Linked DNA regions of Canis lupus familiaris. The protein of the gene in region 1 binds, or shares a complex with, the protein of each later gene. Links are inferred from orthologs where the notes say so. Each region holds a gene or a part of one and is shown in the gene's direction. Other genes may lie near its edges.

Evidence for each region.
Region 2: APOOL (region 1) and CHCHD3 share a complex: the UniProt entries of both Homo sapiens proteins name them as parts of the mitochondrial contact site and cristae organizing system (MICOS) complex. The link is inferred for Canis lupus familiaris from reciprocal best matches to the Homo sapiens genes APOOL and CHCHD3.
Region 3: APOOL (region 1) and CHCHD6 share a complex: the UniProt entries of both Homo sapiens proteins name them as parts of the mitochondrial contact site and cristae organizing system (MICOS) complex. The link is inferred for Canis lupus familiaris from reciprocal best matches to the Homo sapiens genes APOOL and CHCHD6.
Region 4: APOOL (region 1) and MICOS13 share a complex: the UniProt entries of both Homo sapiens proteins name them as parts of the mitochondrial contact site and cristae organizing system (MICOS) complex. The link is inferred for Canis lupus familiaris from reciprocal best matches to the Homo sapiens genes APOOL and MICOS13.
Region 5: APOOL (region 1) and IMMT share a complex: the UniProt entries of both Homo sapiens proteins name them as parts of the mitochondrial contact site and cristae organizing system (MICOS) complex. The link is inferred for Canis lupus familiaris from reciprocal best matches to the Homo sapiens genes APOOL and IMMT.

What each region holds. Positions count from the first base shown.
Region 1 is NC_049260.1:66,055,735-66,061,794, forward strand, and holds the start of APOOL (MICOS complex subunit MIC27), read left to right. Parts: upstream 1-2,036; 5' UTR 2,037-2,115; coding exon 2,116-2,130; intron 2,131-2,287; coding exon 2,288-2,404; intron 2,405-6,060. UniProt on the Homo sapiens protein: Component of the MICOS complex, a large protein complex of the mitochondrial inner membrane that plays crucial roles in the maintenance of crista junctions, inner membrane architecture, and formation of contact sites to the outer membrane.
Region 2 is NC_049235.1:4,054,906-4,061,116, forward strand, and holds the start of CHCHD3 (MICOS complex subunit MIC19), read left to right. Parts: upstream 1-2,669; 5' UTR 2,670-2,842; coding exon 2,843-2,923; intron 2,924-6,211. UniProt on the Homo sapiens protein: Component of the MICOS complex, a large protein complex of the mitochondrial inner membrane that plays crucial roles in the maintenance of crista junctions, inner membrane architecture, and formation of contact sites to the outer membrane.
Region 3 is NC_049241.1:895,860-902,170, forward strand, and holds the start of CHCHD6 (MICOS complex subunit MIC25), read left to right. Parts: upstream 1-2,639; 5' UTR 2,640-2,739; coding exon 2,740-2,826; intron 2,827-6,311. UniProt on the Homo sapiens protein: Component of the MICOS complex, a large protein complex of the mitochondrial inner membrane that plays crucial roles in the maintenance of crista junctions, inner membrane architecture, and formation of contact sites to the outer membrane.
Region 4 is NC_049241.1:54,735,639-54,741,440, forward strand, and holds MICOS13 (MICOS complex subunit MIC13), read left to right. Parts: upstream 1-1,757; 5' UTR 1,758-2,250; coding exon 2,251-2,279; intron 2,280-2,845; coding exon 2,846-3,023; intron 3,024-3,142; coding exon 3,143-3,194; intron 3,195-3,561; coding exon 3,562-3,659; 3' UTR 3,660-3,796; downstream 3,797-5,802. UniProt on the Homo sapiens protein: Component of the MICOS complex, a large protein complex of the mitochondrial inner membrane that plays crucial roles in the maintenance of crista junctions, inner membrane architecture, and formation of contact sites to the outer membrane.
Region 5 is NC_049238.1:39,249,083-39,255,358, forward strand, and holds the start of IMMT (MICOS complex subunit MIC60), read left to right. Parts: upstream 1-2,055; 5' UTR 2,056-2,183; coding exon 2,184-2,228; intron 2,229-6,276. UniProt on the Homo sapiens protein: Component of the MICOS complex, a large protein complex of the mitochondrial inner membrane that plays crucial roles in the maintenance of crista junctions, inner membrane architecture, and formation of contact sites to the outer membrane.

The sequences.
Region 1 (6,060 bases):
TCCTGACTTTTTTTTCCCAATAACTGGAGGTCTCTTCCACTTCCCCTCACTCATTTTGCCCATCCCCACCCTCTCCCTCCTGGCCACTACTAATTTGTTCTCTGTATTAATAAGTCTGGTTCTGCTTTTTGTTTGTTTTCTCATTTCTTTTCTTTTTTTTAAGATTTTATTTATTTATTCATAGAGACAGAGAGAGAGGCAGAGGGAGAAGCAGGCACCACACAGAGAGCCTGACGTGGGACTCGATCCAGGGTCTCCAGGATCACGCCCTGGGCTGCAGGCGGCGCTAAACCGCTGCGCGACGGGGGCTGCCCTCTCATTTCTTTTCTTATTTAGTTTCCATATATAAGCGAAACCACATGGTATTTGTCTTTCCGTGTCTGACTTTACTTAGCAAAATACCCTCTAAATCCACCCATGTTGTTGCAAATGGCAATATTTCATCCTTTTTTATGGCTGAATAGCCAAGATATGAAAACAATCTAAGTGTCCATTGATAGATGAATGCATAAAGATGTTGTATATAAGATAAAATACTAGTGAGTCATCATTATTTCTTTTCTTAAAATATTTTACCGTTTATTGGAAAGAGAGAGAGAGAGAGAGAGAGAGAGCTGGGGGAGGGGCAGAGAGAGAAGCAGACTCTACACTGAGCAGGGAGTCCAATGTGGGGCTTGATCCCAGGACTCTGGGATCATGACCTGAGCTGAAGGCAGATACTTAACTGACTGAGCCACCCAGGCACCTCCACCATTACTTCTTAAAATAATTTTGTCATATCGAGGATGAAACCATTAAAAAATTATCTGCTTAGGATGTCAAATATTTTAGCTATGTTACTGATACCTGGTATATAGTTGGCACTAAAATAAAAAGGCCATGCTGGACTTTTTTCTTTATTGTTCTTTCTACATGAAACCGTTTTCCCTAAACTCTGTCAGCACTTTTCTCAAATGTCAGCTTATCAGAAACCCTTTCCCTAACCTATTTAAACAAGTAAATTCTCACCTTATTCCCATACTGTTTTATTTTCCTTTATAGCATTTGAACATTTATTTGTCTTTTTCTCTTGGGAACATAAACTCCATGAGGGAAGGCATTGTATTATTCTATATGTTGAACAAATGCCTGGCATATAGGAGGCTCAGAGTGACATAGTTTTAGAATGTACGAACTTGACCACTTATCGCAGAGGTAAATGTTCTTTTAGTAATTGATAAAATAAAGAACATTTTCAACTTTTCATGTGTTTGTGGGTCCTGCTCCTGGAGTCCCAGAGAATATAACTCTTTGACGTTTACCAAGGTCAAAATGACTTTGCAAAACTTCAAAATATGGACTCTATTTCTGCACCTGGCACTTATTGCACATATGCATCATTAAAAAAAATAACCAAAGGAGCATTCCAAACATAAAGATAAAAATAGAAAAAAATCTCCCTGGTTCCCATAAGATTAAAGTCATACAGCCTTGCACATATTAAAAACATAAGATAAAGTCTTTAACCTTCCAGAATGTCCTTCCTCAAGATGATCTGTAACTTTCTATGAAAAGAACATATATAACCCTCCACTAAATGTTCCTTCCCGGGAGCACTCTCTTTTTTGTGAAGGTTGTATTTCCAGGCAACTGTTTTATTTTATTTTTTATTTTTTTTTCAGGCAACTGTTTTAACTTGGGCTTGAATAAAACTCTTTTCCTTTCTCTTTAAACATTTAAGAAAGTTTTGTTCAATTTGCCTGGAGCTGACTACATAGTTCTTCATTACTGCAGCTGGACCTGGATTTTAGATCCTTATCTAGACAAATCACATAGGTATGAAACAACGAAAATAGTGCAAACCTCTGCACCCAGCAAAATAGCTTTCAACTGGATTACGCAGGGTATTCTGAAAGGCTTTATCGAGGATTGGAACAGTCACGTGGATGAACGGTTTTACCGATAGACAGCCGGCCAACTGTGGCAGCTTCTCAAAGACGCACTGGGAGGGTGGAGAAAGGGCGGAGCCAGCGGACCAGGGACGTAACCAGGCGGGGCTCCAGAGGTGAGCCGAGTTGAACAGTTTTGTCCTTCTCTGCCCACCATATGAAAATCTAGACGCAGAAAGTCACGGAGATGGCGGCTGTTAGGGTAAGTTGAAACAAAACCCGGATAACCTGCCCTGGTTCCTCGGTGGAGAGAGCAAGAGGCGGGGTGGAAATGGGGTTGTGAAAGAATCGGCAAGGTCAGGGAATCAGAAACGGTTGAAGCCTCAAAACACTTACCTCTCCCCCTTGGATTTCCCTAGCCTGGGACAGTACTCCCTCCTCAGTCTTCTGCAGTTAACTGTTTATACAGCGGCACGGTGGTACTGGGAAAAGGCTGGGCAAAAAAGGCTGGCCTGGAGACAAGCAGCGGCAGACTTGTAGGTATTGAACTGAAACAAAGAGAAAAGAATCCCGGGCATTCGATTGGGCACACAGGGTGGAATCTCCTGGCCCTTGGAAAGTCTTCGTTCAAACATTTGGGGGTGAAATAGACTAGGATGGAGATGTCACAAAGTCTCTGCAGTGCGCGGTGTTTGTATTTATTGTTGTTCCTTTCCGGGCTTGAATAATAAACTTGAGTTCCTTTTGAGTTCTGTACTGGGAAAAAGTGCCTATACTTAGGAATCTTTGTACCGGAAGTGACTCAGCTGGCTGCTAGCTGCGGTTCCTTAAATAGGTTTCAGTAATAGTAGTTGACAAATATCTACAGGTGGATATTTGTAGCCGGTTTTACGTGTAAAATGTACTGCTTGTAGAAGATACAAATACGAATAATTCAGCCAAAGTTTAAGGTGACTCAGTGTCCATCTTGATTGACAATTCTCCATTTCAGCATTTCTGGTACTCATAATTTATCTGAATTATCACTACAGCCTTCTAACTGGACTCCCGTCTCTAGCCTAGCTCTCAAGGAATCCATTTTCCCTGAACTGCCAGAGTACTTATTCTACAATGCAAATCTAATTATACCCCTTTCCCACTTAAAAACCTTTATTGGCACTCCTTCATCTGTTCTCTGGAGTCAGGTCAGACTCCTATGTCTGGAACACCCATCCTTGCCTTGGCTTTTCAGCTTCATCTGTTGTCTCTCAGGAAATCTTTTAACATCTGCACTCCAAGCCTTTCCCCCGCTAGATCTCTGGACTTGATGGGAAACATCCTCATCTAGTTCCTACTTGTAGTCCATTCATTCATTTAACAGCTACTTGTTTACTGCCTCCTCATACACTAAGCACAAAATGCATTTTCCGAGGTAGTGTTCCCGACTTCCCCAGTTTAATTTAAATAACTCCTTTTCTTGTGCTTCCAGAGGACACTGGGCATACTTTTATTATCTTAGCACTTATCACACTTTATTTTTTTTAATTTTTTTAAGATTTTATTTATTTATTCATGATAGTCACAGAGAGAGAGAGAGAGAGAGAGAGAGGCAGAGACACAGGCAGAGGGAGCAGCAGGCTCCATGCAGGGAGTCCGACGTGGGATTCGATCCCGGGTCTCCAGGATCGCGCCCTGGGCCAAAGGCAGGCGCTAAACCGCTGCGCCACCCAGGGATCCCCCACTTATCACACTTTAAATAATAGACTATTTACTTACCAGTTCTACCTTCCTATAAGCTGCTTGAGGACAATAATTAAGACATTAATTTTTGTATCCCTAACACAGGTATGACTTACGTTAGGTACTCAATAAAAGCTATAGGAATAGGGATCCCTGGGTGGCGCAGCGGTTTGGCGCCTGCCTTTGGCCCAGGGCGCGATCCTGGAGACACGGGATCGAATCCCACATCGGGCTCCCGGTGCATGGAGCCTGCTTCTCCCTCTGACTGTGTCTCTGCCTCTCTCTCTCTCTGTAACTATCATAAATAAATAAAAATTTAAAAAAAAAGCTATAGGAATAAATGCCAGGCAATGGGATAGTGTGCTCTGATTCAGAAAAAAAAAAGTGCCTTGCCTCAAGAGAAGTACAAAGTGATCTAAGGGTTCAAAAGAGAGAACTCAAACCTGGTTAAGGAGAATAAAGACTTCGTGGAGGAGGTACAGAGACAGAAGGAGTAGTCATTGGTAAAAAGCAAACCAGAATAGTGTGTTGTCACTGAAGCCTAGAGGAAAGAGTTGAACAGTTTGGCCAATAATAAGTCACTGGAAACTACCATTTATTAATTGCTTCCTATGAGATCAGGCACCATGCTAAAATACTCTATCTACCTCTGTTATTTCACTTTAATCTCAAGATAGCTTTATTTTGTAGTTACTATGATCACTGTTTTACAAATGAAAAACTAAGGTTGAGAGAAGTAAATTGCCCCAAATCATAATCCTAATAAGAGCTGAAGTGAGATAAACTAGTATAAATAAAGTAGTAGAGGGAGAATCTAGATTGTAAGAGGTTAAGGAAAGGATAAGGGAAACTGGCCATAATTTAGCACTTACTTTGGCCAGCTGCTCTACATATATTATTTCATTTTAATCCTTTTGATGACCCTAAGAAATGGGGTATTATCCTCACTTTATATATGATAAAGCAGGCTTAGAAAAAAGTGCTTGCTCCAGGTCATAACTGCTAAAGGTTCAAATACAGGTGTATTTAGCTCCAAGGTCCATGATCCTTCCACCACTCCTTGCTTCTGAGAGGAAGGGTATATTACTCTTTGGAAAAGTGTTGTGGTGAAAGGAAGGAAATAAATCTTGGGATACAGGTAACAAATTCCAGAAAAGGTGTATTTTCATTTAAAAAGGTCAGGAGAGGGATCCCTGGGTGGCCCAGCAGTTTGGCGCCTGCCTTTGGCCCAGGGCGCGATGCTGGAGACCCGGGATCGAATCCCACGTCAGGCTCCCGGTGCATGGAGCCTGCTTCTCCCTCTGCCTGTGTCTCTGCCTCTCTCTCTCTCTCTTGCTGTGTGACTATCATAAATAAATAAAAAAAATTAAAAAAAAATAAAAAGGTCAGGAGAGGAATGACAGGTGGCTCGGTGCTTGAGCATCTGCCTTTGGCTCAGAGTGGGATCCCAGGGTCCTGGGATCAAGTCCCACATCAGGTTCCCTGCAGGAAGCCTGCTTCTCCCTCTGCCTATGTCTCTGCCTCTCTCTCTCTTTGTCTCTCATGAATAAATAAAATCTTTAAAAAATAAAAATAAAAAAGTCAGGAGACTGTCAATTATATCTTGATAAAACTGGAAACAGTCAGGAAGCCTGAGCTGGTTTGGTGACAAGGGGAAATGTGCCAAAAATTAATATAGAGGAAAGATAATAATAGTTATCACAGCTATTAAGTTACTAAGCATTTACTGGTTTGGGCATTTTGCTGATCATTTTACATGAATTTTCTAATGCTTCACAGTGGCCCTATGAATAGATACAGTTATCATCATTTTACAGGTAAGGAAACTGAAGCTTAGAAAGGTTTCATAACTTGCCCGCAGTCACACAGTAGTAAAGAGTAGAGTCAGATCTGAAATTATGTGATCTCAGTCCCGATTATGGGGCTTAACTTTGTGGAAGCATTTGTGAGGCCAAGGTCCCAAAAGGGTGATCAGTGTTAATTTTGAAGCCCTAGAGTTTAATAAAAAAAGGGTAAGATAGAGAGGAACCCTGAAAGTTGGCAGATAACTAACGAAGATTACATAAATCTTGAGATAGAACTTGTTGAGCAGATATGATAGTGAAAAACTGATGTGGAATTACTCTCAAGGAATAAGGACTATATTGATTTCTCCTCCTGACTTCTTGAATAAGAGAGAATGGCTTGAGGACTGGCCTTCATTTAAAAGGATTGGGAGAGGAACCTGGGTAGCATAGTCAGTTAAGCCTCTAACTCTTGGTTTCCATATAGATACTATCTCAGGTTTGTGGGACAGAGCCCTGTGTTGGGCTCTGTGCTGAGTGCAGAAGTCTGCTAAAGTTTCTCTCCTCTCTCTGCCCCTCTCAGGCCTCTCTCTCTCAAATAAACAAATCTTAAAAAAAAGGATTGGGAAGAATGTATTAGTGTCAGACAAAAGCCAAGTTTCTTTAACGCTAGAGGTTGAGTGAATTTG
Region 2 (6,211 bases), on another chromosome or scaffold:
CTGCTTATATTATAAATGAAATTGTCTTCTTAATTTCATTCTGGGTGTGTTAATTGCTATTATATAGAAATACAATTGATTTTAGTAAGTTGATCTTGTATCCTGCAACCTTGCTGGATTTTTAAAATTAGCTCTAATCATTTTTTAGTGGATTTCTTGGGATTTTTGTATTTATAAGGTCGTGCCATCCAAGAATATAGTTTTCCTTTTTGTCCAATCCAGATACCTTATATTCTTACAGTTTCTGCTCCGACCTCTCTTTAGTTTACCATGATGACATCTCTGACTCAGTATCAAAACTTCTCTCTTTGCTATCTTTTTGTATGCTCTGAATTTTCAAGTTTAAATTTGAGAGAGCAATAGAGAGATAGAGAAAAGGTGTATAGAATCTGAGTGGCTCAAGTGTTAGCTATTATTTTTGGTTAGGTAAAACTTTGCATTCTAGTTCATAGGTCTCTGGCTAATTGATAATGCTTTTGGATTAGATGATCACCAATAAGCTGTGGCCAGAGAAAAAGGGAGACCACAAGTCCTAGGTAGCTCAAGACATTTTCTTTAGAAGGGACTGTAGGCATGCTTGGCCTTGAAATTGATACAGGTAGGTCACTATTGTTATAGTAGGCATTTTTCCAAGAAAAAGATGTATTTTTTTTTTTCAATTCAAGGTTTTTGTTTTGTTTTGTTTTTGGTTTTCTTTCTTTCTCCTCTTTCTTTCTTTCTTTCTTTCTCTTTCTTTCTTTCTTTCTTTCTTTCTTTCTTCTTTTCGGTAATGTTGTTTGGAATGGATTATTAATTCTAAAGGTTTTTTTTTTAGGATTTTATTTATTTATTCATGAGAGACACACAGAGAGAGGCAGAGACACAGGCAGAAGGAGAAGCAGGCTCCATGCAGGGAGCCGCATGTGGAACTCGATCCCGGGACTCCTGAGTTCACGCCCTGAGCCAAAGGCAGACAGATGCTCAACTGCTGAGCTATCCAGGCATTCCATCATAACTGTATTCAATATAATTAGTGATTCCTTCATATCTCTACTTTCTCCTTAAACTCTTGTAATTAGTTATTTTGGTAATAATTAATTGAGCATCTGTTTTATGTAGAACCTCCAGTTTGCTCTATGTATTGGGGTAATAAGCGAGGAGGGTACATATAGGGAGGGAATGTGCCCAAGAAAGACATAATCTTTGGGATTTTTAGTTCCCTGTAAAAGAAAGGTTTAAATATATTATACAATTTGAGAATAAGAACAAAATAACATAATACAATTTGGAAACATATATATTAAAAATAACAAAATTATGAATGGAATAAATTCATTACTCTACTGCTGACCAGGGACACAGAGATGAAAGACACAGTGTTGGCTCTAAAGATTCCTCCAGTAATGAATAGCCGGTTTAAGGGGTGACTGGGTGGCTCCGTTCGAGGAACATGCGGCCCTTGATTTAGGGGTCATGAGTTCCAACCCCATGCTTGCTGTCGAGATTATTTAAATAAAACTTAAAAAAAAATCATTACAAGTTTTCTGAATGCCTTTGTAATAGGAGGATGCCATGCTGTGTCGTGGTTGGTTGCTTTTAATGTTGACAGGGATTCAAGAATGGCACCATCATTAGCCTCATTTCTAAATCTGCCTCTGTAAGACTATAGTCATTTGACTGGAGTTACAGGTCACAGGGTACGTAGCAGATATCGATTTGATTTTTTTTTTAATAGGCTCCATGCCTAGCATGTAGCCCAAGGTCGGACTCAAACTCAGTATCTCGAGCTCAAGAGCCAGATCCTTCACGGACCAAGCCACTGGGGTACCCCGGTAAGAATTCTAAATGTGTGTATGTCACTTAAAAGTTATTTACTGGTCTTGCAGAGGCGAAGTTCTGAACTAGAAACCTTCCAGAATAAATGATCTCAGCTTCGTCTGCTGTGGTTCTGATTCCTCCCCCAACGCCCGCCGCTCGTGGTAGCGGCTGCGCTTTCCTCCGCCTCGTCGCATCCCGGCCTAAGCAGTTGCGGCAACGGACGGGGAAGGAGGCGCGGGGGCGCTTTGCGGTCTGTGTCCGCGCCTGCGGACCTGAACGCCACAGTAGTTAGAACTTCATCTCACGAAAGTCAACAGAACGGTGCGTGGTACACGGTCCTCCTGAGTACGGCCACAGGGCGAGTTTCTGGATTTTTATTGTTTTTGTGGCTCAGGCTAAAATGAATGTTACATTTTGCCTCATGTTTCTAGTGTTAGGAATCTAGGAATGGCTCCGTTAGGACAGAGCATCTCCCTGGGCAGACCGCGAGTTCCCTGAGGACAGACTTTGTACGCCCCACGTCCCCGACCCACGTCTCTGGAGCCACACGTCCAAAACGTAGGTTTCGTTAGAGGGACGGACTTCCTTCCAAGTCGCCCGCCTACAAAGCGCGCGCACAATCCAGACTACATCTCCCAGGATGCCGCGCGCCCCTCGCGCTCTGGGTCCGAGGCAAGAAGGTCCCAGCCGCTACCGCGCCGGACGGGAGACTACAATTCCCAGTACACCCGGGGGCTGCGGAAGCCGGGTCAGACAGCACCTGTTGCCATAGCCTCCGGGGCCGGTCCAACCAATCCGGGCGCCCCCGCCGAATAGAGGCGGGCCGTTCGTGTCTCCGACCAATCGGAGGCACGCTTGTTGCGGCGCGTGACCGGAGGAGGCGGGAGCCGAGGACCGGCGCCTTCTCCTTGCTTGTTGGGGTCGTGGCCTTGCTCCCGCCGCGCGAGGAAGGCGTCGGCCGGTGCGTCCCCGCGCGTGTGTGCGCGTGGGGCCTGAACTCCTCGTGCGCCCGGGCCAGGTCTGTGCGGGGGCAGAAGCAGGAGCCATGGGCGGGGCCGCCAGCACCCGCCGGGTCACCTTCGAGGCGGACGAGAACGAGAACATCACCGTGGTGAAGGGCATCCGGGTGAGTGACCGCGGGCGGGCGGAGGGCCGGCGCCCGGCGCCCGGCCCGGACCCCACACTCGGGCCTGCCCGGGACGGCTCAGCCGGGGTCCCCCCGCCCGGGCCCCCAGTGCTGTCCGGCCCGAAGCCGAGCTGCCTGCCTGCAAGGAAGCCTGAAGTTTCAAGACTCGGGACGTCCATCCAGAGGGACCCCCTGGCCCCGTGCCAGGCGCTGAGCTGGGCGCTGGGGCGGGTGGGGGCAGCGCCACGCGGAAGCCGACTGCCCCGCGCGCGGCTCCAGTCCGGGCTTGGCCGAGGTGCCCACGAGCCGGGGGGCTTTATCCGAAGCCCCGGCCTTGCCTTCTGTGAAGTGGGGCTTGTCTGAACTCCTCCTGGGTTCAGGATCGCGACCTCATTTTGCGCCGGCCCCCGTTACCCTTCTCGGTGCGTTGGCGCTTCGCGGAAAGCCCGCTCTCCTCTCCTTAGCGCCCCCGTCTCGTGCCCCCGGTTGCCGCACACGCACATGCACACGCACACGCACACGCACACGCCGCAGACTTGGGGCCTGCCCGGGTGCCTTCCAGCTCTGGGCTTTCGCTTGACGCCTCCTCTTTGCCTCCTCTGTGGACGAGGCCCGGTTGCTCCAGGACAGGCGCCTGCCAGGCAGCCGGACTAGCCTGAGCTAGGGTTGCAGTGTTGGGAGACCGCCGCGCCGGTGGGGTCCGGTGAGTCCCCAGCCGCACGTCGCCGGGAAAGCCTTAACGCCCCCCGCGGGTGCTCGGCGAGCAAGCGGAACACTTGGTTTCCCCCCGGGGTGTCGGTACACCGGCCCTACCTGCACTGAACGCTCTTCGCTGCACCTGAACCGGGAGCCTCTCAGTGTTGAGAGTATTGCTCGAACCTGGTCAATGAAGCAGTTTCACTTCTGGAAGTTCCATTATCATTTGTTAAGTTTTCCTTCCTTGTTATCACACAACCCGCATAAGGGAATGAAATGTGTGAATTGTGTTTAGTTCTGTTACCAGGAAATAAAACTTCTTAAATACTTAAAATGTTTAAGAACTTTTACTCTGAAACTGTTACCGTGAGAAGAATTTATTAAAGCTTTCTCTATAGAAGCTCAAACTGTTGACCTCAGTTTTTGGTCTGTGACCACCATTCCTTGATATCAGTTAATGACAGTACCACGTTTTGTAACAGAATGTCTGAGGCTGCATGGCATTGTTGTGGTTTAGTTGGTACTCCTTGGAGTAAAATAAAAACTACTATAAACTGCGTTTTATGCAGAGATTTGTTTAACCTTGCCTTAGGCTCTGACTTTTCCATACCTAAGGGTGAAAATGAAAAGTAAGGGAGAGCAAAGCAAATTCTGGGTGAGAAGTCACTGGCTAGAACAATAGTTAAATCCATGTTCTCACGCCCTGCTATAGACAGACACAGTGATGAGAGCAAACAAAATGAAAAGAAAATTTGGACACAGCACAGACCTTCATATCAAATATTAGGTAAGGTTAGCTACTATAAGGATGATAATAGGGTAGATATTAGCCTAGAATGAGGAGATTGTTTAAAAAACTTTTTCTCCACTTTTTTTAAGTAAAAGAAACTATGTCTTTTGAACACACGACTTGACAGAAGTATTCTTTGTTTTTGTCCTTTCTCACAGAGGGCATTGTATTTATGATTCAAGCACACACCATGCCCCCTTTGACCTCTGTGCTTTGCTTCACTTCAGGATACACCCTTCACCTGGAATGCCCTTGCAGTGGTCTCCCACTTGCTTCAAATCCTTCTTTTTCAAGGTTGATTTGCATCCCTGTGCTTCAGTTTGCTCATCTGCAAAATGATGGGGCTTGAGTACATCTCTGAGACCTCTGATCTTTTCTGGTTCTGAAATTCTGTGAGTCTAGTGGCACTATAAGTTTCTTGTAGCCATACTCAAGCCCATTGCAATTTCCTCTAAAAATGGCACGCTCTTGAATTGTTGAGTACTTGGGGGTCATCCTGAGTTCTTTGGGGTCTTGTTCAAAAAAGCATCAGCTTGGAGTTAAACAGACCTTGGTGTGAGTCTCAGATTAGATGTTTATCATTCTGCGGCTTTGGACAAGTCACTTCTTCATATTTGGTAAGAAGATGGGATAAGGTATTTAAAGCACGTGGCACGTTGTAGCTTTTTAATAAAAAGCAGCTGTTAGGTAAGGTTCCTTCACATCTAATATTTGAAGGTTCTCTGGAAGTGCTGTGTAGTTAGAATAGTGGCCAGAGCACTTGCTTTGGAAGCTGGCCAACCTGGCTTTAGTTCTAGCTCTGCCTCTCACTAGGCTCAGTGGCCCTGGACAAGTCACTTTGATTAGGTTTCCTTGTTCAGTATGTTTAGATACTGCAGCCTGCTTGTGGTATACAAGCATTTAGTGTTTTGACAATGCTTAGTACTTACATGAGTAGTAGGTATTATTAGAGTTGTTCAAGGGAATGGGTATGTAAATTTACATTGATCTTAAAATGATTAAATAAGAGCATATTGTGCTCCCACAGGCATACCTAAAGATGTGGACTGAGAAAAAGGAGTCCTTAGTTCTGCAGCTGATTGCCTGTGTGATTTCCCTTTAGGCATTTTGTATAAATTTTTCAGCCGATCTTTGTATTTTTCCTAAAATACACCCTCTTGCCTTGCCTTGCCTTCCTCTCAAAACAGTCCTCTTGTTTCCCTCTGAGGCATGGGGAAGGATAAGCAACAATCTTGGTATCATAAGCGAGCCACTGTTTTTAGCTCAGTTGACTAAAGCGAGGTGCCGATGAGGCCCAAGCTTCAGCGTTGAACTGCAGATAGGTTCGTTCAACTTAGCTGAAGAAAACATTCCAGATTTGTCCAATTGTCTAATATTTATGTCATCACTCATAAGAAATGAGAGCGTAGCAGCAATTCACAGACTAAGTCACTGCTGGAAAACCAATTCTGCGTTCCACTGATAAGGATAGTAATTTCATCTTCATTTATCTTAATATAGGAAGAGTAACATTTAGTAAGCAACATAAGGCTTTCAGTAACTAGGCTGTGTTTATTAATAGATAATGTTTTCCCAGATTTTTTTTTTTTTTTTTTTTTTTTGCTGAAAATGTCCTCAATGGTTAGCAATTAAAGGGCCTACTTAACAATTTTAAGTTTAAAGTTTATTCTCACCTACCAGGTGTTATTTTCATGGTGTTTATTTCCTTTATCCTTCACAGTTGATAGCTTTCCCTCCACTTGCATAAAATCACTCATATTCTCATACCTAATTCCAGCTTCAAACCTAAAACAACTCATGGG
Region 3 (6,311 bases), on another chromosome or scaffold:
TACCCCCCCCCCCCCCCCCCCCCCGCAGAGCTACACTTTCCTGAGCCTCACAGTGGGGCAGTAACTCTGGATGATTTCCAGGACTAGATGAATTAATCCTGGATTAACCGCCCACAAGGTGCTCCTGTCATAGAACCAGGCACCAAGAAAGCCTTCAAAAAATATAAATCACCCCTCCATTCTTTTCCTTTGCATCCCTGTGCTATTGTCTTTATTCAAACTCTCATCCTACTTTGGATTTATAATGTCATGTTATCTTCCCCCATTTGCTTGTCAGTTTTCTCAACTGTGAAACAGGAGTACATAACTTATTGGGTTGTCATGAGACTTAGCTTGGCTGCTGACACCATAACCCCCACTCCAGGTCTTGTGCAATTCTGATTCTCTCCTGGGATGTTGCACACAGTGGCGGCGGGGGAGGCCACATACAGTCTCAAGCTCAGGCATGTGGTTCTGACTCTCATTTTGCAGAATGAGTTCAGTGTGTTATTTCACCATCTGACCCAGAAGTGAAATCCATTCCTTTCTCAACTTTTCACAAGCCTCCCTCCACAGCCATAGGTGTTTGAGTGTTTGGGAGACCTTCAAAAATATGTGGAGCATGTAGTGGATGCTTAAAGTTCCCCACCCAGGTTTTTTTACCAGCTGGTGGGGCCATCCCCCAGCGTCTGGTTGTGGCTATTGACAACTCACAGATGCCCCCTTCACTGGGGAATTGTGCTGGGCTGCCAATAATTGACTGACATGGGGGACAGAAGGCCTGTCCCCTTGTTGTAGGATGAGGCTAATTCTGTATTTAATTTGTTCTCCAGAGCCTTGCCCCCACCCAGCCCTGCCTAGCATTAGGTGGAAGCCAGTCTCCAGCTTTGACCCCACTTCATCCTGTTCTCTTACTTTCTTTCTCCTGAGGCACCTTCCAATAAGCCACTTGAGCCAGAGTCACCTTCTCCCGCTCTGCTTATATGGAAGAAATGGAGGACAGAAAGGAAGGAGAGAGATTTACAAATCAAAGTATTTTGAATGGAAGTAGCAGATATCCTTGTTCATAAAAATCCTCTGGCCCTACCTCTGGAATGTTCATTGGCTTCCTAATTCTCATTGGTCTCTCTCATTCACTCTCTCCTCCTCACTCCTTCTTTTCCAGGTTCCCAAAAGCAGCTCCAAATGACTCTTGCTATTTCATGTAGCAATTTAGGGTTTCTCAGTTCAAGATTTCAAACTCAGCTCCAGGGGCAGCCCCGGTGGCGCAGCGGTTTAGCGCCGCCTGCAGCCCAGGGCTTGATCCTGGAGACCCTGGATCGAGTCCCACGTCAGGCTCTATGTATGGTGCCTGCTTCTCCCTCTGCCTGTGTCTCTGCCTCTCTGGCTCTATGAATAAATAAATAAAATAAAAATCTTAAAAAAATATTAAAAAAAAAAAAACTCAGCTCCAGGCCCACTTTGTAAATCAAAGCCATTTAGCAACTTGGTTGAACAAAACGAGGCTTCATTCAATGTCACTATGGCTATAATTCACAATCATTTGTGTTCCTCCACTACACATATGATCCTGTGTAAGCATAAACACAGTGCTTGATACACTGCCCTGAATGCATGACATGTATGCTCCCTGACCAATGTTTCCTCAATGCTTATGAGCATTCACCGTCTTAACAGGGTATTTAGAATAAATCTCTGGGGATCCCTGGGTGGCTCAGCGGTTTAGCGTCTGCCTTTGGCCCAGGGCGTGATCCTGGAGTCCCAGGATTGAGTCCTGCATCGGGCTCCCTGCATGGAGCCTGCTTCTGCCTCTGCCTGTGTCTCTGCCTCTGTGTGTGTGTCTTTCACGAATAAATAAATAAAATCTTAAAAAAAGTAGACTAAAACTCTGACCTGCCTATAAGGCCCTAGTGATGTGAGACGTTCCTGCTCCCTTCACCTTCTTGCCTCTGGCTCTCTTCTGCTCCCTTGCACTTCTCAGTCGTGTGGCTAAGCCCTGTATTTCTTAAATGCGGCAAGGTCTTCTTTGTCTCAGGGCCTTTGCACTGGTTGTTTCCCAGCCAAGTGCTTCCCTCATCTTCTCCTGGCTAACTCCTACTTATCCTTATGTCTCAATTCAAATCCTTCTTTCTCATAGAGGTTGCTCTGGTCTGTCACATTAGAGACCCCCTCCTACTAGTTTCTCACGGGGCATTGTGATAGTCTTTTCCATTTCTGGCACTTGTCACAGTGGTTAGTAAGCTTATTTATGTGCTTGCTTGTTTGTCTTTTCATTTGTTCCTTCCATTAGGTCTAAATCTCACGAAGGCAGGACGTCTTGTTCCCCACGGCTGGTTCAATGCTTGCTCCGTCTTGGTAAGCGCTGCTCAAAAGGGGTTTGCTGAATGAACCAAGGTCGCCCTCGCATGGCTGGCTCAACTCCTCGGGGGGCTCCCGGCCTTTCAACATCGCCCCCGGCTCTGCTTCAAGGGCGATCTTCCCCTCCCCTGCCTGCTGCACTCCAACACGCTTCCCGCCGCCCGGGCGCCACGCCTCCGACGGGCAGCCCCGGCGGTCCAGACTACAACCCCCACAATGCCCCTCAGGCACGCGCCGCAGGATTGGCTGAGCTGGCAGCGGCGGCCAATAGGACGGGGTCTTGTTGGCTTGTGCCGCACCCGAGTCCCGGGCAGCGCGGGGCGCGCAGGGAGCCGCAGCCCGGCGTCCGCCCGGTTGCTCTGGAGCCGGGTCGCGCGGCCGCCCGCCCGCTCTCCTCCTGCCATGGGGAGCACCGAGAGCTGCGAGGCCCGCAGGGTGTCCTTCGGGATGGACGAGGAGGAGCGGGTCCGGGTGCTGCAGGGCATCCGGGTGAGCGGGCCGCCGGCCGGCGCGACGAGCGAGCGCGGCCTGGGCCGGGTGGGCGTGGGGGGCGCGGGCCGGCCTGAGGGAGGGTCGGGCCGGGGGCGGGCGGGCGGGCGCGCCTCGCTCGGTGACCCTCCCGGCGCCGCGGCGGCGAGCGTCCGCCTGGGACGCGGGGCCCGAGGTCCGGGGGCTGCCCGGGGCCGCCGTCCGGGAGAGGCCGCCGTCGCAGCCCCGCTGGCCGAGGCCGAGGCCGAGAGCGGGGAGGGGAGGGGAGGGGAGGGGGCCCCCTGCACCTGTGCAGCTGCCGTTGCCGGGCGGACCCGGGCGGACCCGACTCTCCGCACTGCAGCTCTGGGCCCAGACGCCTGCAGGCGTGGACGCTCCCCGCTCACCGACGCCGCAGCCCAGGAGCAGTTAGACGTTGTGAATCAGATCACAAACCCCCCTGCTCCCCTCACCCCCGCCCCGCGGAGGCCTGGCGCTTTCCAGACCAAGAGGGGCCACCTCCCTGCCCGACCAGGCCGCCGCGTGTGGCCGCCCCTCACGCCCCGCGCCCCGCCCCGCCCCGCGCCCCGCCCCGCCCCGCGCCCCGCCCCGCGCCCCGCCCCGCGCCCCGCCCCGCGCCCCGCCCCGCGGCCTTCCGACTGCGCGGCGTTGGCCCGGGCGGCTCCAGGGGCGGCTCCAGGGGCGGCTCCAGGGGCGGCTCCAGGGGCGGCTCCAGGGGCGGCTCCTGGCGTTCACCGCTGCGTTGGCGGTTTCTACTCCCCCAGCTTTTCCTGGATCTGCCTCTTGTTGGCGGGGTGAGGATCATCCGAGCATTCTTCGGTGACCAGTCTTCTAAAGTAGCCCCCTCCCTCCGTCACACGTGGTTTTTCCTAGTAGGCGTGAGTCACCATTGGAAACTTGATTATTTATTGTGTTTCCCACCACGTGTAAGCTCCTTGAGGCTAAGCTTCATTTCTGAGTCACGACTCCATCCCCAGAACCTAGGAGAAGTCTAAAAGCAGCCCACATTTGAGTGCTTAGTGGGGACCATGGGTTCCACTGAGTCCTTTACAGGCAACCTCTCATTTACTTTTCAACAGCCCGGTGAGAGAGGTAGAACACTGTTTGCCCATTTTGCAGACTAAGGACAGATTAGACACTGAGAGATGACGTAACTCCGCCCAGGTCAACAAGAGGAAGAGCTGCGATTGAAGCAGGCCAACCCCAGGGCCTGTTGATTGAATGCTGCACTTCATGCACTTGTGCCTGGCACATTGTGGTTTGTAAATGATTGTTGGGTGGCTAAATGGATAAGCCCAGTGAAACAGCCACCAAATCCAAACAAAATGCAGAGCTGAGTATAGGCGAATTAGAGAGTAGCTCAGAAAAAGACATCAGGAGGTCTGACTCCCAGGCAGATGCTTATTAGCTATGTGGCCTTGGGTGAACAACTTCTCTTTTGAGTCTCAATGACCACATTCTTAAGAAAATTAGGGGAGGCTGTATAATCCCAGGTACTGCCTAGGATAAGATGAAGATGTATATGGAAGTGTTTAGAAGTGCTTGTGTTTTGTGATGGCCTCTGTTCTTAGTCTAGTCTAGTGCTTAGCACAGTGGGTGCTTGCTAGATGTTATCTAGTCTTGACCTGGCTCCAGAGAAGACAAAATAGGGAGCAGATGGCCCATGTTTGAAGGTTGAGAAGTAGGAGCCTGAACTGGAATTTAGAAGAACACCCTTGGCTCTGTTTGGGGGCTCTCACCTTTGTCACCTGGTATCCAGTGTTTGGGAAGTTTGGAAGGTTAGGTCAGTCAGGGTCTCCTGAGATTCAAGGGGGTCCTTTTGAAGGTGAGTTCCTCTGAGTTGACAGAAGATCATTTTGGGGGCCATCGTATCAGACTACTACATTTTGTTTCTAGTGCCCTTAACAATTCTGCAAAGTAGAAGTTCTTGTTAAAGATGGAAAGTCAGGCTTAGAGCTGTTAAAGAATTTGTTCAGAGCGTTACCTGATTGGCTGATGGGGCTTGAGTCCAGATCTTTTGAGTGCAAGAAACAGCCTTTTCTCACTACTCCAGGCTCCTTTCCTAAGTAATAGGCAAGGCAGCCTGAAAATTGTGTGTCACAGCCTCTGCCTGTTCTGACAGTACTGGTACCCCACTTGTTTTCTCCCAGAGACTGTTGAAGCTGAAGGGAGCTTTGGTGACTGAATGCTGGGCAGATTCATCAGAGAGAAGAATGACTTGCCCAGAGTATGGCCCCATACTATGAGAGCTCCTTCTTCTCCTTCTTCTCCTTCCTCTCCTTCCTCTCCTTCCTTCCTCTCCTTCCTCCCTTCCTTCCTTGCACTTTTGTGCCTGGTTTTGGGGAGGGAGATTTGAAAAAGGAAGTGATGGTAATGAAGTGTTTGGTGTAGGGGTTTTTTCTACTAGCAGAGTTACTTGAGGGTTGGAGAGTCCACCTTCTCCTTAAGCAGGCAAGTAAAAATCAGTAGAGATTGTTAGATGAGCCAAATGAGAAGTTACTTTAATAGAAGGTAGATGCCAGAGAAGAGTATCTGCCCCAGGTTCTTCAGAGAAAGTTAAATATTCTTAAAGACACTCATATTTAATCCCCAGGCCCTGATCTTGGAAAGTGCTCTAGTTTCCTTAAGATTCAGTTCTAGGGCCTTGCTACTTTGCAATTAATTTGCATAAATTTACATATTGAGTTCAAGCCCTAATTCCAAGGAAGGTAAAAGAAATTTAATTAATGCAAAATGCTGCAATTATATTCAACTGCAGTTTTCAGAGCAAGCATGTGTGAAATACATAAAGATTACTTTTTATCCAGTCTATTTAACCTCATCCTCCAATGAGAGAAGGTGCATGCATGGTCATAATGTCCTGTGTGTGCCCACTTTTCCTCTTTGCCCCATGTAAACAGCCAATATTTGGTAATGCAGATAAAGTTGGTTGCTTTTCAACATGTAGACTCACTGTTCTCCAGCCTTTTCCCCTTCCAACTGCTGCCATTCTTTCCAAGTCACTTGCTGGCCTGCTGCATGATCCTTATGTCCCCAGGCTCATTACGCTCTCAGGGCTACATCACATTTACCATTATCCATTGTTTTCCATGAGGCAAGTTTGGACCACTGCTTTAGGGGAGGACCAAGGAGGATGTAGAAAGATGCACAAGAAATAGTCCCCAAACATGCCATTGCCAGAGAAGCCCTATGCCTGAGCACTGCCCCACTAGCCCCCACTTAACCTGTCACCTCAATAAATACGAACACGTTACTTGTTAGGTACTGGGCCTGGCCTTGCAGAGACAGTAAGGGATGAACGAAGCACAAGATCCTCGCCCTCATGGAAACCTCAGCCCAGTAGCAGGAACAGACCAAAAGGAAGAAAAAGTCAAAAGAATAAAAAAGCACTGCAAGTGTGCTGAAGGAAACAAAAGTGTGCAAAGTAACGGGGACTCCCCATTGGAGGTGGGACGGCAGACACTGCCACCCTGAGGAGGGGACAC
Region 4 (5,802 bases), on another chromosome or scaffold:
AAGCCAGGCTCCTTGATGCTCAAAAAGGCCCCACGAGGACCAGCCCCTCTTGCTCTGTTTGCCAAAACAGCGCCTCTTCAGCATTCCTTAGAAGGAGCCAGACTCCATCCTGCCTCAGGGCCTTTGCATTGGCTACTCCCTCTGCCCGAAATGCTCTTCCCAAATATAACCCAATGAGTTGCTCTCTCACTTCTCTGAAGTCAGCACAAAACTGACCTTCTCCAAGGAAAACCCCCTGGCCTCCTTTCCTAAAGTACCTCCTGGTCCCTCTCCCTCCTCTTGCCTCTAAAACTTCCACGCTCTCAGCACTTGCCATGATCTGAAATCATCCTGATGATCTGTTACATGCTCCCTGTCCCTCTCTCCTCTTAGAGCGTCAGCTCCACGAGGCAGGAAGGAAACGGAAACTTGCTTCTGCTTTGTTCGCTGTTGGGTCCTCAGTGGCCCCCAAACTGCCAGACATGGAGCAGATGCTCGACAGACACGAGACTGGCCCTGAGTGATGTGACGAACATTGGAAGTGACAGCTGGGGGGACCCGGAGAGATGACTCTGGAGACACCAGGAAGGAGCCTGTGTCGTCACGGTTAAGATGTGACTTGAGCTGTGGGAGTGGATTTACTTGTTCCGGGGAGAAGGTGAAAGAGAGAAACAGGCCAAGGACTTCACGATTCAGGGGGGCACGAATCTTCCCCCAAGGAAGGCACAGGCCCGTCACATCCTGGGGTTTCTGTTCTCTGAACGCAGTAGGGGTAGAACTGTAGAACTGAGAGATGGTGGGGCTGGGGTGCCCTCAGCTCTGAGATGTCTAGATCCTTCGACCTACTGCCAACTTCCAGCTGCCTCCCCCTGCCTCCCCCACCCTCCCACTCCCTCCTCCGCACCCTATGCTCTCCGGGCAGCCCAAGACATATTTACCCAAAGAAATGTGACTGCCCCTTGCTGCTGCAAACCCTCTCAGGGCTCGCCACTGCCCCTCGTGGAGACCGAGCTCCTCACCCCGGCCCACAATGCGCCGCGGGCCCGGCCCTGGCCCACCTGTCCCTTCTCATCTTGCCGGGTTCCTGTCTGTGACTCTTTCTCAGCTCTCCGAAGAGTGAAGTCCTCGCCCTTCCCCAGTCACGGCAGCCATCCCACCTCTCCCCGCTTTCCAGGGGACGCCCGTGAAGTCCCGCAACTTGACCCTCTTCCACCCTGACCACAGCAGCCACGCGGCGGGGGCGGGGGCGGGGGCGGGCGGCCGGCTGGCCGTCTGGGTGGATGGGTGGGTGGATGGATGGACGGAGCAGCCGGCCGGCGTCCCATGGGGACGGAATTGGGAGAACCAGACCCTCGCAGAACGCACTGGTCCCCTGACCTCACAGAGCCTCAGTTTCCCCTCTGGACAAAAAGGGCGTGCGACGTGCCGCGCGCTCCCAACCTCGTACTCACCCACTCGGGCCTCAGTTTCTCCCGCCGTCCAGCGGGGCTGGGGTCCGGGCCTGGGAGCCCGGCGCGCACCCCTCGGACTCGCACCTCCCTACGCTGCCGGCTCCGCCGGGCCCCCGACCGCGCCCCCTCCCGTAGGGTCCGGGTCACGTGACACCGAGCCCACCTCCGCAGGGGGCGGGGCCTGGCGGGGGAGCGCGGCGCCCGGGCGTTGCCCGGCAACGGCCTTCCGCCCGGCTCGCCCTCGCCCCGCCGTGGTCCTGGGCCCGCCCCCTGGACGAAAGCCCCGCCCCCGAGGCAGGCACGTGACCGAGGGCCCGCCTCCCACGCACAATTCCGACCTCGCGTTGCCGTGACAACCAACCATCTTATTGGCACACTCGCCCTGGGCCGGGGCCCTCGGTCCCCCGCGCGGGCGCGGGTGGATCTCCCGGACTCCGACGCCTTCTTGGGCCACTGTCGGGCCTCAGTCTAGACGCCCGACTCCTCTTTTCCTCGCACGCCGCCGGAGCCGCGCCAGACCGGACTACATCTCCCAGCAGTCTCGGCGGCTGGGCGAGCCGTCCGGCGCCTCACGGGGGTTGGTCCTGACTCCATTTCCCAGGCAGCCTTGCGGCGTCCGGGCTCTGAAGATTACACTTCTCAGAATCCTTTCGCTGGAGGGCTGCGGAGCCTCTCCGGCGTTTTGCGGCCGCCGCGCGACTTCGACTCTCACAGGCCTTTGCGGCTGAGTCGGGCGACTACGTTTCCCAGAGGCCTCTGCGGCGCAGTCACCGGAAGCGGCGGGCGAGTCGAGTGTCCTTGCGCGCGGAGCCGAGCGACCATGGTGCCCCGAGTGTGGTCGCTGATGAGGTGCGTGGGGCGGCGGGGCGGGCTCCGAGCCCCCGAGAAAGCCCCTCCCGTGGGCACCCCCCGCCGGGTTTGCTTCCGGCTGGGTCTTGGAGTTCCGTGGCGTCGGGTCCCGCCTCGGCCTGACCTGAGGGTCAGGAGGGGAGGGGCCTCCCGCGATCCGGGGCCGCAGGTGCCTCCCCTGGACGGCGGGAGTGCCGCCCGCGCTGCGCCAAGACCCCGGGTGCCCGGGGCGACGCGCGACGTCCAAGGAGCGCCCAGGGCCGCGCGGGACCCCGCGAGGCACAAGGCCGGGGGTCTAGGCCTTCCCTCGCCGCGCCGTGTGCGGATCACGAGTGGGCCTCAGTTTACCTGTTAAACGGGGCCGAGGGGCTGTGCTCTGTGCAGTGAGGGGAGCGTTGTGCCAGGCGGTGCCCGGCCGCCTCCTTGTTCTTCCGTGTCCGCTGCCCGGCCTCGCTGTGTCACTCCCCGGACCCAGGCGCCCCGCGTGGGCCAGGAGCCCGGGGCTGCCGGCAGTGCCGGGGAGCTGCTGAGCCGCCGCCCTGCCTCCCCCCCCCCCACCACCGCAGGTTCCTCATCAAGGGCAGCGTGGCCGGGGGTGCGGTCTACCTGGTGTACGACCAGGAGCTGCTGGGCCCAAGCGACAAGAGCCAGGCTGTGCTCCAGAGGGCCGAGGAGGTGGTGCCCCCAGCCATGTACCAGCTCAGCCAGTACGTGTGCGAGCAGACCGGCCTGAAGATGCCCCAGGTAGCCCCCGGCGGCGTGTCCGTGTCCGTGTCCGCGTCCTCCCACGGGCTCGGTCCTGCGAGGCTGGGGCCGCGGGGCCCTTCCCCTTCTCACCTGCCCCTTCTCCCCTCTCTTCCCAGCTCCCAGCCCCTCCAAAATTTAACTTTCACTTCCGTGACACCTGGAACTCAGGTAGGCCCTGGTCCCCGTGCTGGGGGGTGACCCCTGCCACCGCAGCCTCACAACCCTGCCACCGCTTGCTTCCTGGTCACTCCTTCCCGTGGCTCCCCGTGCTGCCCTGCACCCCTGCCACGGATCTAAAGGATCTAAAGAGGGTGGAGATTTCAGGGAGGGGTGAGCCAGAGGGAGCCTACTTTGAGGACAGGTGATCTCAGACAACATGAGGCCCTGCCCCCCCCCCCGCCTCAGTTTCCCCATGTGGGACCGATGGCGCTGGAACTGGTGCCTCTCAAAGCCTTGTGGAGCTCGGGTTTCCGGGGGGCTGGTGTGGGTGGGCGAGACGCGGTGGCTGAAGGCGCTGGGGCCTCCCTCTCCACAGGGATCCTCACGGTGATGTCAGCTCTGTCGGTGGCCCCCTCCAAGGCCCGCGAGTACTCCAGGGACGGCTGGGAATACCTGAAGGAGCGGATCAAGTAGCCTGCCAGAGGCCACCTGCCCCAGTCAGGAACGGGGGCAGGGGCACCAGCGACCTGGAGACTCCAGACTGGGACTGGGACCCCACTCGAGGGCAGCTCCCGGCCTTGCCGGCCCAATAAAGGACTTTGGAAATGCTCCCCGACCCGTGTGCTGGCCCTGGGGGCTGGGGGTGGCCCGGCTGGTGCCCAGAGCAAGGGGCCTGGGCTAGCAGCTCCTCAGGGCCTGACCTGGACCACAGGTGTTGGTTAACCCCTTTGCCGTCCGGACCCCACTGCTGAGTCTCCAACCTGGTGCGGGGCTGGGGGCAGACATTGACCCTGGAGCTCCACGGACAGTGCTCAGGGGCCCAGGAACGGGTTGAGAAAGTGCCGATGCCGGCCTTCCTGGAGGGCTGAGCCCAGGGTGGGGGCTTTGCGGGGCTGGGGGCCTGGGGAGGGGCATGTTCATCTCCCCGCTGTCTGCGTGGCCAGGAGTTCCCGGGGCCGCTCAGTGATCACCGTGTGTAGAGCTGCTCACGAGAGCGACTGCAGTCCCCGCAGGACGGGCCTGTGTCCCCGGGGAGGGGGTCATGACGTGGGGGCTGCAAAAAAGCAGAGATGGCCAGGTGTGGCCCAGGGGCGCCGGGCAGGCAGGCAGGCAGGGCTTCAGGAAGCACCTGGCCACCCCCAAGGCAGCCGCACAGCGAGGACGAGGGTGGGCCGTGTGGTTTCCAGGTGAGGAAAAGGGCGGAGATAGAGGCACCTGTCTGAGGGCACAGGGCAGGCAGGGCTGCGTCTCTTACAGACGGACACACGTACCCCGAGGGCTGCTGGGGCCTCAGGCTGCTCCAGGCCCTGCGGGTCCCTCAGCAGCTCTGAAGAGATGCCTTCCCCAAGCCCTAGGTCTGTTTGCACTGACGCCCCCCCCCCCCCGCCCCCGGCTCTCGGCCTTGTGCCCTTCCATCCACTTCCCAGGTCCAAGTCTGAACATGTCCCTGCCCTCCTCGGAAACCCTCTATGGCTCCCTGCTGCCTTCCCCTTGAGCCCGGACTCCTCCAAGGGGCCCCATTCCCAGAACGCAGTTGGTCTTCACCACTGGCCTTGGCACCCACTCAGCAGGCCATCCTCCCTCCTGACTCTGGCTCATCCTGCCTGCAGCTTAGCATTGGCCTCCTCTGGAAAGCCTCCCGACCCCTTCCTCCCAGCCTGAAGTCAGGCACTCGGCCCAGGCCCCCCGACTGCCCTGTGGGTGTCCTATCAGGGCCTTAGCACTGCGAGGCAAGGTCGCCCTACCTCAGCCTGGGCACAGTAGGTGTTGAACAGCATCCCTGCCTCCACCCCCGAAATGCCAGTGGCACTCTGTCCCCTGGTCCTGACGGCTGCAGACGTCTCCAGTTGCTGCCAGGTGTCTCCTGGGCAGTCATCCCAGCAGACGAGCACTGCCTTGGGAGTTTGCTAGTCTCCCGTGACAAATGACCAGATTCAGGGGCTTAAAAGCACACGTCGACCGGTTCACAGATCTGGAGGCTGGAAGCCCACCACGGGTCTCACGGAGCTAGGAGGACAGGGCTGGCTCTTTCTGGGGACAGTCCGTATCTGGCCTTTTCCAGCTTCTAGAGGCCACCACACTCAGCAGGAGTGCCCCCCCCCATCTTCAAAGCGAGCTGTGGAGCGTGTGGGTGTCCAGCCCCCCCCCCAGCTCTCCTGCCTCCCTATTCCCCTTATAGGACCCCAGTGAGGACACTGGGCCCCAGAAGGGGCTTCTGGCCCTTTAGGTTACCATGCGCACAGGCTTGGGGATAAGGGTGGGTGGGGTGATCTGTGGCCCAGGTGGGAGGGGGTTTTATTTGCTGCCCCTGCCCCCCACCATCTGAAGGCTTGGTCACGTGTCTGTCTCCCCCCACATACACCCATACCCCATTGTGGACCCTGCGGGAACAGGGGCCCAGGCTGCCTTGGTGGTTAGTGTGTTCCCAGCCCCAGACAGGCTTGGACTCCACAGTGATGTGTCAGGGAGGCAGCCGGCCTGTCACCACTGCTCCCCTGGACGGGTGGACCCCAACATGAACACAGACCAGGGCCCACAGAGACGGAGCCTGGTGGACCTGAGGAGCAGCATGGCCCCACGTACGGGCCTTAGCACCACGCTGCTGTCACACCTTACC
Region 5 (6,276 bases), on another chromosome or scaffold:
CAGGATCGTGCCCTGGGCCAAAGGCAGGCGCCAAACCGCTGTGCCACCCAGGGATCCCGGCAAATCTCTTTAAAGTATGGTTTAGTAGCTGGATTCTGAAATTTGCTTATGCATTGTCTGTTGTTAATTTCACTTGTCACCTAGCTTCTGGAAAAATTCTACTGTAAAATTATGAGAAATGAGTGAAAACAGCTAATAATATCTTAATATTATGAAGGTAGTTTTGATTTTTATGGATCTTCTGAAAAGGTCTCAGACTCCCCAGTGGTCCCCGTTCACATTCTGAGAACCAACTGAGGAGAGTCATATCCTTTAATTCTTCTGGGTTTTAGGGTATGTAAGTGGGTGATGAGCTTTGACTACTATCATTGCTTTCTTAATCTCCCACCTAAGATGGCTAAATTGAGCCTTAAACATATTCTCATGTATTGAAAAAGTACTGAGACATTTCACAAATACTCTTTGAATTGATAATGGAAGTCCTTGCACATTTTTGAACAGAGGAATGATTTAAATTTGTATGTTACTTTGGGGGAGTCCACTTCAAAGCAAAAAAAAAAATCCATAAATTGCACGTGGAGGATGAAGATTAAGGATTTGGTTAAATGGGAGATGAGGAAACAACAAAAATTAATTTTGGAGCTTGAGATTTGGAAGCTGAAGTTGGTAACGATGTTCAGGCCCAGGATGTGGCTGGGCCACACACGGTTAGGGTAGATTTTTTTTTTTTTTTAATTTATGATAGTCACAGAGAGAGAGGCAGAGACACAGGCAGAGGGAGAAGCAGGCTCCATGCACCGGGAGCCCGACGTGGGATTCGATCCCGGGTCTCCAGGATCGCGCCCTGGGCCAAAGGCAGGCGCTAAACCGCTGCGCCACCCAGGGATCCCGGTTAGGGTAGATTTAAATTGCTTATTTGATATTGAGAGGTTTATGGCCAAGATATTAGAAAACTCATTACACTGGCATCACCCCGTATAACAGAACAGCAGTGGGCAGGGACGGGGGGTGGGTGGGAGGGGTTGGGGAGACTGCAATTTAATGCTAAAACTACTTTTAAAAACGGGAGACTGCTTTGGGGGCTGTTAGGTGATGGGGATATGAAATTAGAGAGCGTAACGTAATTTTTAAAGCACCCTGAAAAGCAATGAATATATACGGACATAAGTATTTGATTTTAGGTAATTTTCAAATTCCTTTCTCCATTTTACAAGTGGGATTAGTATCATACTGTGATACCACCATATTGTAAAACACCGTAACTCTAGGAACACCATGCTGTGATAAATAGCCTAGTTAAGACCTAAAAGCACTTAGCAAATGCAACGGATATACACGTTATTCAGTTTCTTTTGATATTGTGATGGTACGATCATTATTAGTAATAACAGTATTGAATACTGTGTTCAATATTTAACATACTAAATCTTGGTTACAGACTCCGTGGAATACTCTGAAGAGTTTTTCTACACTGATCTCCTTAACTTCCGACGCATTCCATCAAAATTATCTTTGTAAAAGGAAAACGTAGTGGGAAAATAAGTGTGGCTTAAATCTAGGAGTAGAAGCGGTGGAACCCGAAGGATGTGGGTTTCTATCCCTGCTCTGCCATTTATTAGATGCGCGAACAACGCGTTCCGCACAAAGGTCTCTCCAGTGTTCGTCCTCCCAATCTCCCATAATCAGGATGACTCCCTGAAGAAAGGCTGTCAAAGCAAACAAACACGCAAACCAAAACACCATTGTTTACGTAACTTTCGCCAAACCGTCTGCTTTCTACGAAATACCCAGCTGACAAATGCGGCCGGGATGTTTTTTTCCTTGAATTCTTCGACGAATAACATCTTCTATCCGCACTGATCAAAGCCCGAGTTTCGCGCTTCCTCTCACCCTCCGGGTTCACCTACTAACCCCTTCTGGCGGATACAGACCAGAACTCCGAAGGCGACCCGGAAGGAGAAATAGCCTTTTCCGCCCGGGGTCGGTGCGGGGGGGGGGCGCCTCTCCGGGCGGCCTGGGCGGGGTCGAGAAAGGGGGCTGCGCGTGCGCAGCGGCGTTTGTTGCCCTTCCGGTAGGACCGGCGCGGAGAGGCGGCACGGACGCAGGGACGTACGCACGCTCTCCCTTACTAACGCCTCCGCGGCAGCTCCCTCGTACGCCAGCCGTGCCCAAGCCCGGCCGAAATGCTGCGGGCCTGTCAGTTATCGGGTGTGACCGCCGCCGCCCAGGTGAGCGCGGGGGCGCTGGGAGAGCGCGTGGTGAGGCGGACTCCGGCCAACCAACGGAAAATGGGAGAGGCTTTCGCTCTGACTAGGCCCCGGGAGAGAGGCGTGTTTCGCGGCCGCCCTCATCGCGGGAGTCCTGGGCCGACCCGTGAAGCAGTTGATTAGGGGGTTCGCCCGACTGGGATGATTTGAGGGTTATTGCTGTAAGCGGGATGGGGTGTGGAGAGAAGGTGGTGGGGAGGCGGGCGCAGGACCGTCAGCGCGGCTTCGGGGACGCGTCGTCCAATCAGCGGCGCGCTGCCCCAGGCAGGGACCAATAGTGGCTCTGGCGCTCGGGTTGCCGGTTGGGCTCGTGATAGGTTTCGCGCAGCCAGTGGTTGAAGGTCGCGGGGAGAACTACAGTTCCCAGCAGGAAACGCCTATAGCCTTGGCTTGTTGCATCTTTAATAAGGAGGTGTTGGGACTGTTAGAGTCCACATTTTAGGGGTCAAGGTTGTAATTACTCGGGAAGGACCTTCTTTTTTGCAGCTTAGAGAGCCTCTGAGGTATTCTTACTCTAGACAAAAAATGAGAGATTGTAGTTTATGAAGTAAAAACTCTGGGTACTGAGGAAGAACAGGAGTCATGACCTTGTGCTCATTTCTGAGGTTAGCTTGGGGATGTATTTCTCCAGGTGCTGGGACAACTTTGGCAGACATCCAGGAAGCCTAGACACCCAGTGACTTACATCTGCACGCTTGTCAAAGTACTTTTCTAAAGTTGGAAATAAACTTCTATTTCTATTGTTCACAGTTTTCAGAATTATTGATATGTTGGAAGATGTATTGCACACCAAGCAGCAATTGAACAAAATCTCTAGTCAGAGTGAGTGAGAAATCATGTCAGGCTTTTTTTTTTTTTCCTTCAAGTTTGCTTGTCTCCCTACTTGTTGCCAGGATAGAAGCAGCTTTTGTAGGCAAGTAGGGTCTGTATTAGTTCTTTTTTGATGCATAACAGGTGTCACACACTTAGCAGCTTAAAACCGCACCCATTTATTCTTAGACTTTCTGGTTATGAATGGTCTGGATTCTTTGTTCGGTGCCGCACAAGGTTGCAGTTGAGGCATTGACTGCTGTGGTGCTCATCTGGACCTCAGAGTCCTCTTCCAAGTTCATTTTGGCAGAATTCAGTCCCTTGCACCTGAGGAACCGAAGTCCCTGTTTTCTTTCCTGCTGTCACCTAACTCTCTTAGAGTTTGCTCCAAGTGTGTTGCTCAGTGACATGGATGTTTGCTTTCTTGTAGGCTACCAGGAGCTTATCTCTTTGACTTCAGAAGTCTCTCTTAACTTTCCTGTTTTTGATCTCTAGATCAGCATGTAAAAGGCTTTAAGATTAGCCTGGCCCACCTGGAAAACCTCCCTTTTGATTAACTCAGAGTCACCTGATGAGTTACACACCTGCAAAATCCCTTTTGTCTTGCAACCCTAATCATGGGCTTAACAGGGTGGAAATTGTGTGGGCCATCTTAGAATCCCTCCTAATGTAGTACCCAAGTGGGACTAGAACTCTTTGAGTGCAGAACTCTTGGTTTGTCTTCAGAGCTCTCCTTTCATGGAACACTCTTGTTCTGCCCTCAGATTATGTCATGGCTGTCACCAATCTCCTTGTCTGCCATAAAATCTAAAATTTTTCTACTTTTTCCTTCCTTGTCTTGATGAAAACGCTTTCTACTTATTGGGATTCCAATTAGGAAGTTAGAAGAAAACATTAAAGCTTCACACTAAAATATGAACCCTTTTCTAGCTTGCATCCGCATTTTCTTAGGGTCTCGAAATTGCGATCTTGTAAAAATTCATTGGTTTCTTCTCATTTTGTAGCATTTGATATTGTTGCTTTGTGAAGCTGTTTTTGCTTTCTGGCTTTTCTTATGTAGTATCTAGGGGCTCTTTATCTTTCTCCTTTTTCCTTTATTGAATCTGCTACTTGTACCTCGAAATATATCCCCAAGGTCTGACCTCTCTTCCCATCTCTCTCTTTTTAATTAAGACTTTTTATTTTTTATATTTTGAAGATTTTATTTATTTATTCATGAGAGACAGAGAGAGAGAGAGGGGCAGAGACCTAGGCAGAGGGAGAAGCAGGCTCCATGCAGGGAGCCCAATGTGGGACTCGGTTCCGGGACTCCAGGATCAGGCCCTGGGCTGAGGGCAGGCGCTAAACCGCTGAGCCACCCAGGGATCCCCTAACTAAGACTTTTTAAAGAGCAGTTTTAGCTTTGCAGCAAAATTGAGGGGAAGGTAGAGATGTTCTGCCCCCACACATGCTTGCTTACCTTCCACCATTATCAACATCCCCCACCAGAGTGGTGCATTTATTACAGTTGATTAACTTACATGGGCATATCATAATCACCCAAAGCCCATAGTTTACATTGGGGCTCACTTTTGGTGTTGTACATTGTCTGGGTTTGGACAAATGTATGATGACATATGTCAGTCGTTACTGGTATCTTACAGAGTATTTTCACTGCCTTAAAAATCCTCTATTCTCCACTTACTCATCACTTTCTTTCCTCTCCTCGCAACCACTGATCTTTTTATTAACTCTTTAGTTTTGCCTTTCCAAAACGTCATATAGATGGAATCATACAGCGTGTAGCCTTCTCACATTGGCTTCAGTCGCTTCATAATGTGCATTTAACTTTCTTCCATGTCTCTTCATGGCTTGACAGCCTTCTTTTTTTTCTTTTCTTTAAGCATTGACTAATATTCCATTGTCTGGATGTACCACAATTTACCCATTCACCTACTGAAGGATGTCTTTGTTGCTTCCAAGTTTTAGCAGTTGTGAGTGAAGCTGGTCTAAATATTTCATGTGTAGGGTTTTGTGTGAACATGTTTTCAGCTCTTGGGTAAATACTGAGGTGCATGATTGCTGTATTATATGTTTAGTTTTTGTAAAAAAAAGTGTCAAACTGTCTTTCAGAGTGGCTGTACCTTTTGCATTGCTAGCAGTGATGAATGGGAGTTCTTGTTGTCCTACATCCTCATCAGCGTTTGGTGTTGTCAGTCTTAGGGACTTTGGCCATTCTGATGTATGTGATAATCTCATTGTTGCCCCATCTCTTTATATACTGTTACTTGGGATTATATCAATTCTCAGAACTTTCATCCCCAGCAGATGGTTCTTTAGATTCTTTTGAGCTTTCTAGTCAAATTTTCTTTTCCTTGTTTGATTTTGTCAACTTTATCCAGAATATTCTACTTGTCAAAATCTTTTCCATTCTGTCAAGCTTCATCTTCTTTGATGTTTTCCTGCTTTACTATTGCCCTTTTAGAGTCTTCTGGAATTTTTTTTTTCATTAGGATTGTAAAAACTGTTACTCATTACTCAGCAGTAATGTCTGCCAAGTATACATGGTAGAAAGTACTTTAATATATCATTGCTCTTTGCTTTTATTGGTGTTAGATCATTTTTTATTATTCCTTATTTTCATCTTTTTAGGCCAGTGGCTTTCAAGCCATTTTGGAATATTTACATCGTAACTTAAGACATGCAAGTGGGAATATATGAGTAATATATATTCATACATGTATGGAGGGAAAACTAAAGTATTAAGTTCCTTCTTTTGCCATATTTAATACTTGCCATTTGCTTGTTGTAACTGAAGGGTACGTTTTCTAAGATAGAGATCTGTGTCTTTCTTTCTTTTTTTTTTTTTTTTTTTTAAGATCTGTGTCTTTCTTGAGAGATAATACTGCTTCAATGCCAAACTTCCTGGATTTTTTTTTTTTTGTGTGTGTGTATATATAAACATATATATGTATATATATTCTTTTTTAAAGATTTATTTATTCATGAGAGACAGAGAGAGAGAGAGAGAGAGAGAGGCAGAGACACAGGCAGAGGGAGAAGCAGGCTCCATGCAGGGAGCCCGATGTGGGACTCGATCCTGGGTCTCTAGGATCACGCCCTGGGTCAAAGGCGGCGCTAAACCACTGAGCCACCCGGGCTGCCCTGTGTGATATATTTTTAACCTTAATTCATAATTCTTTTATTTTCTTTTATTTTT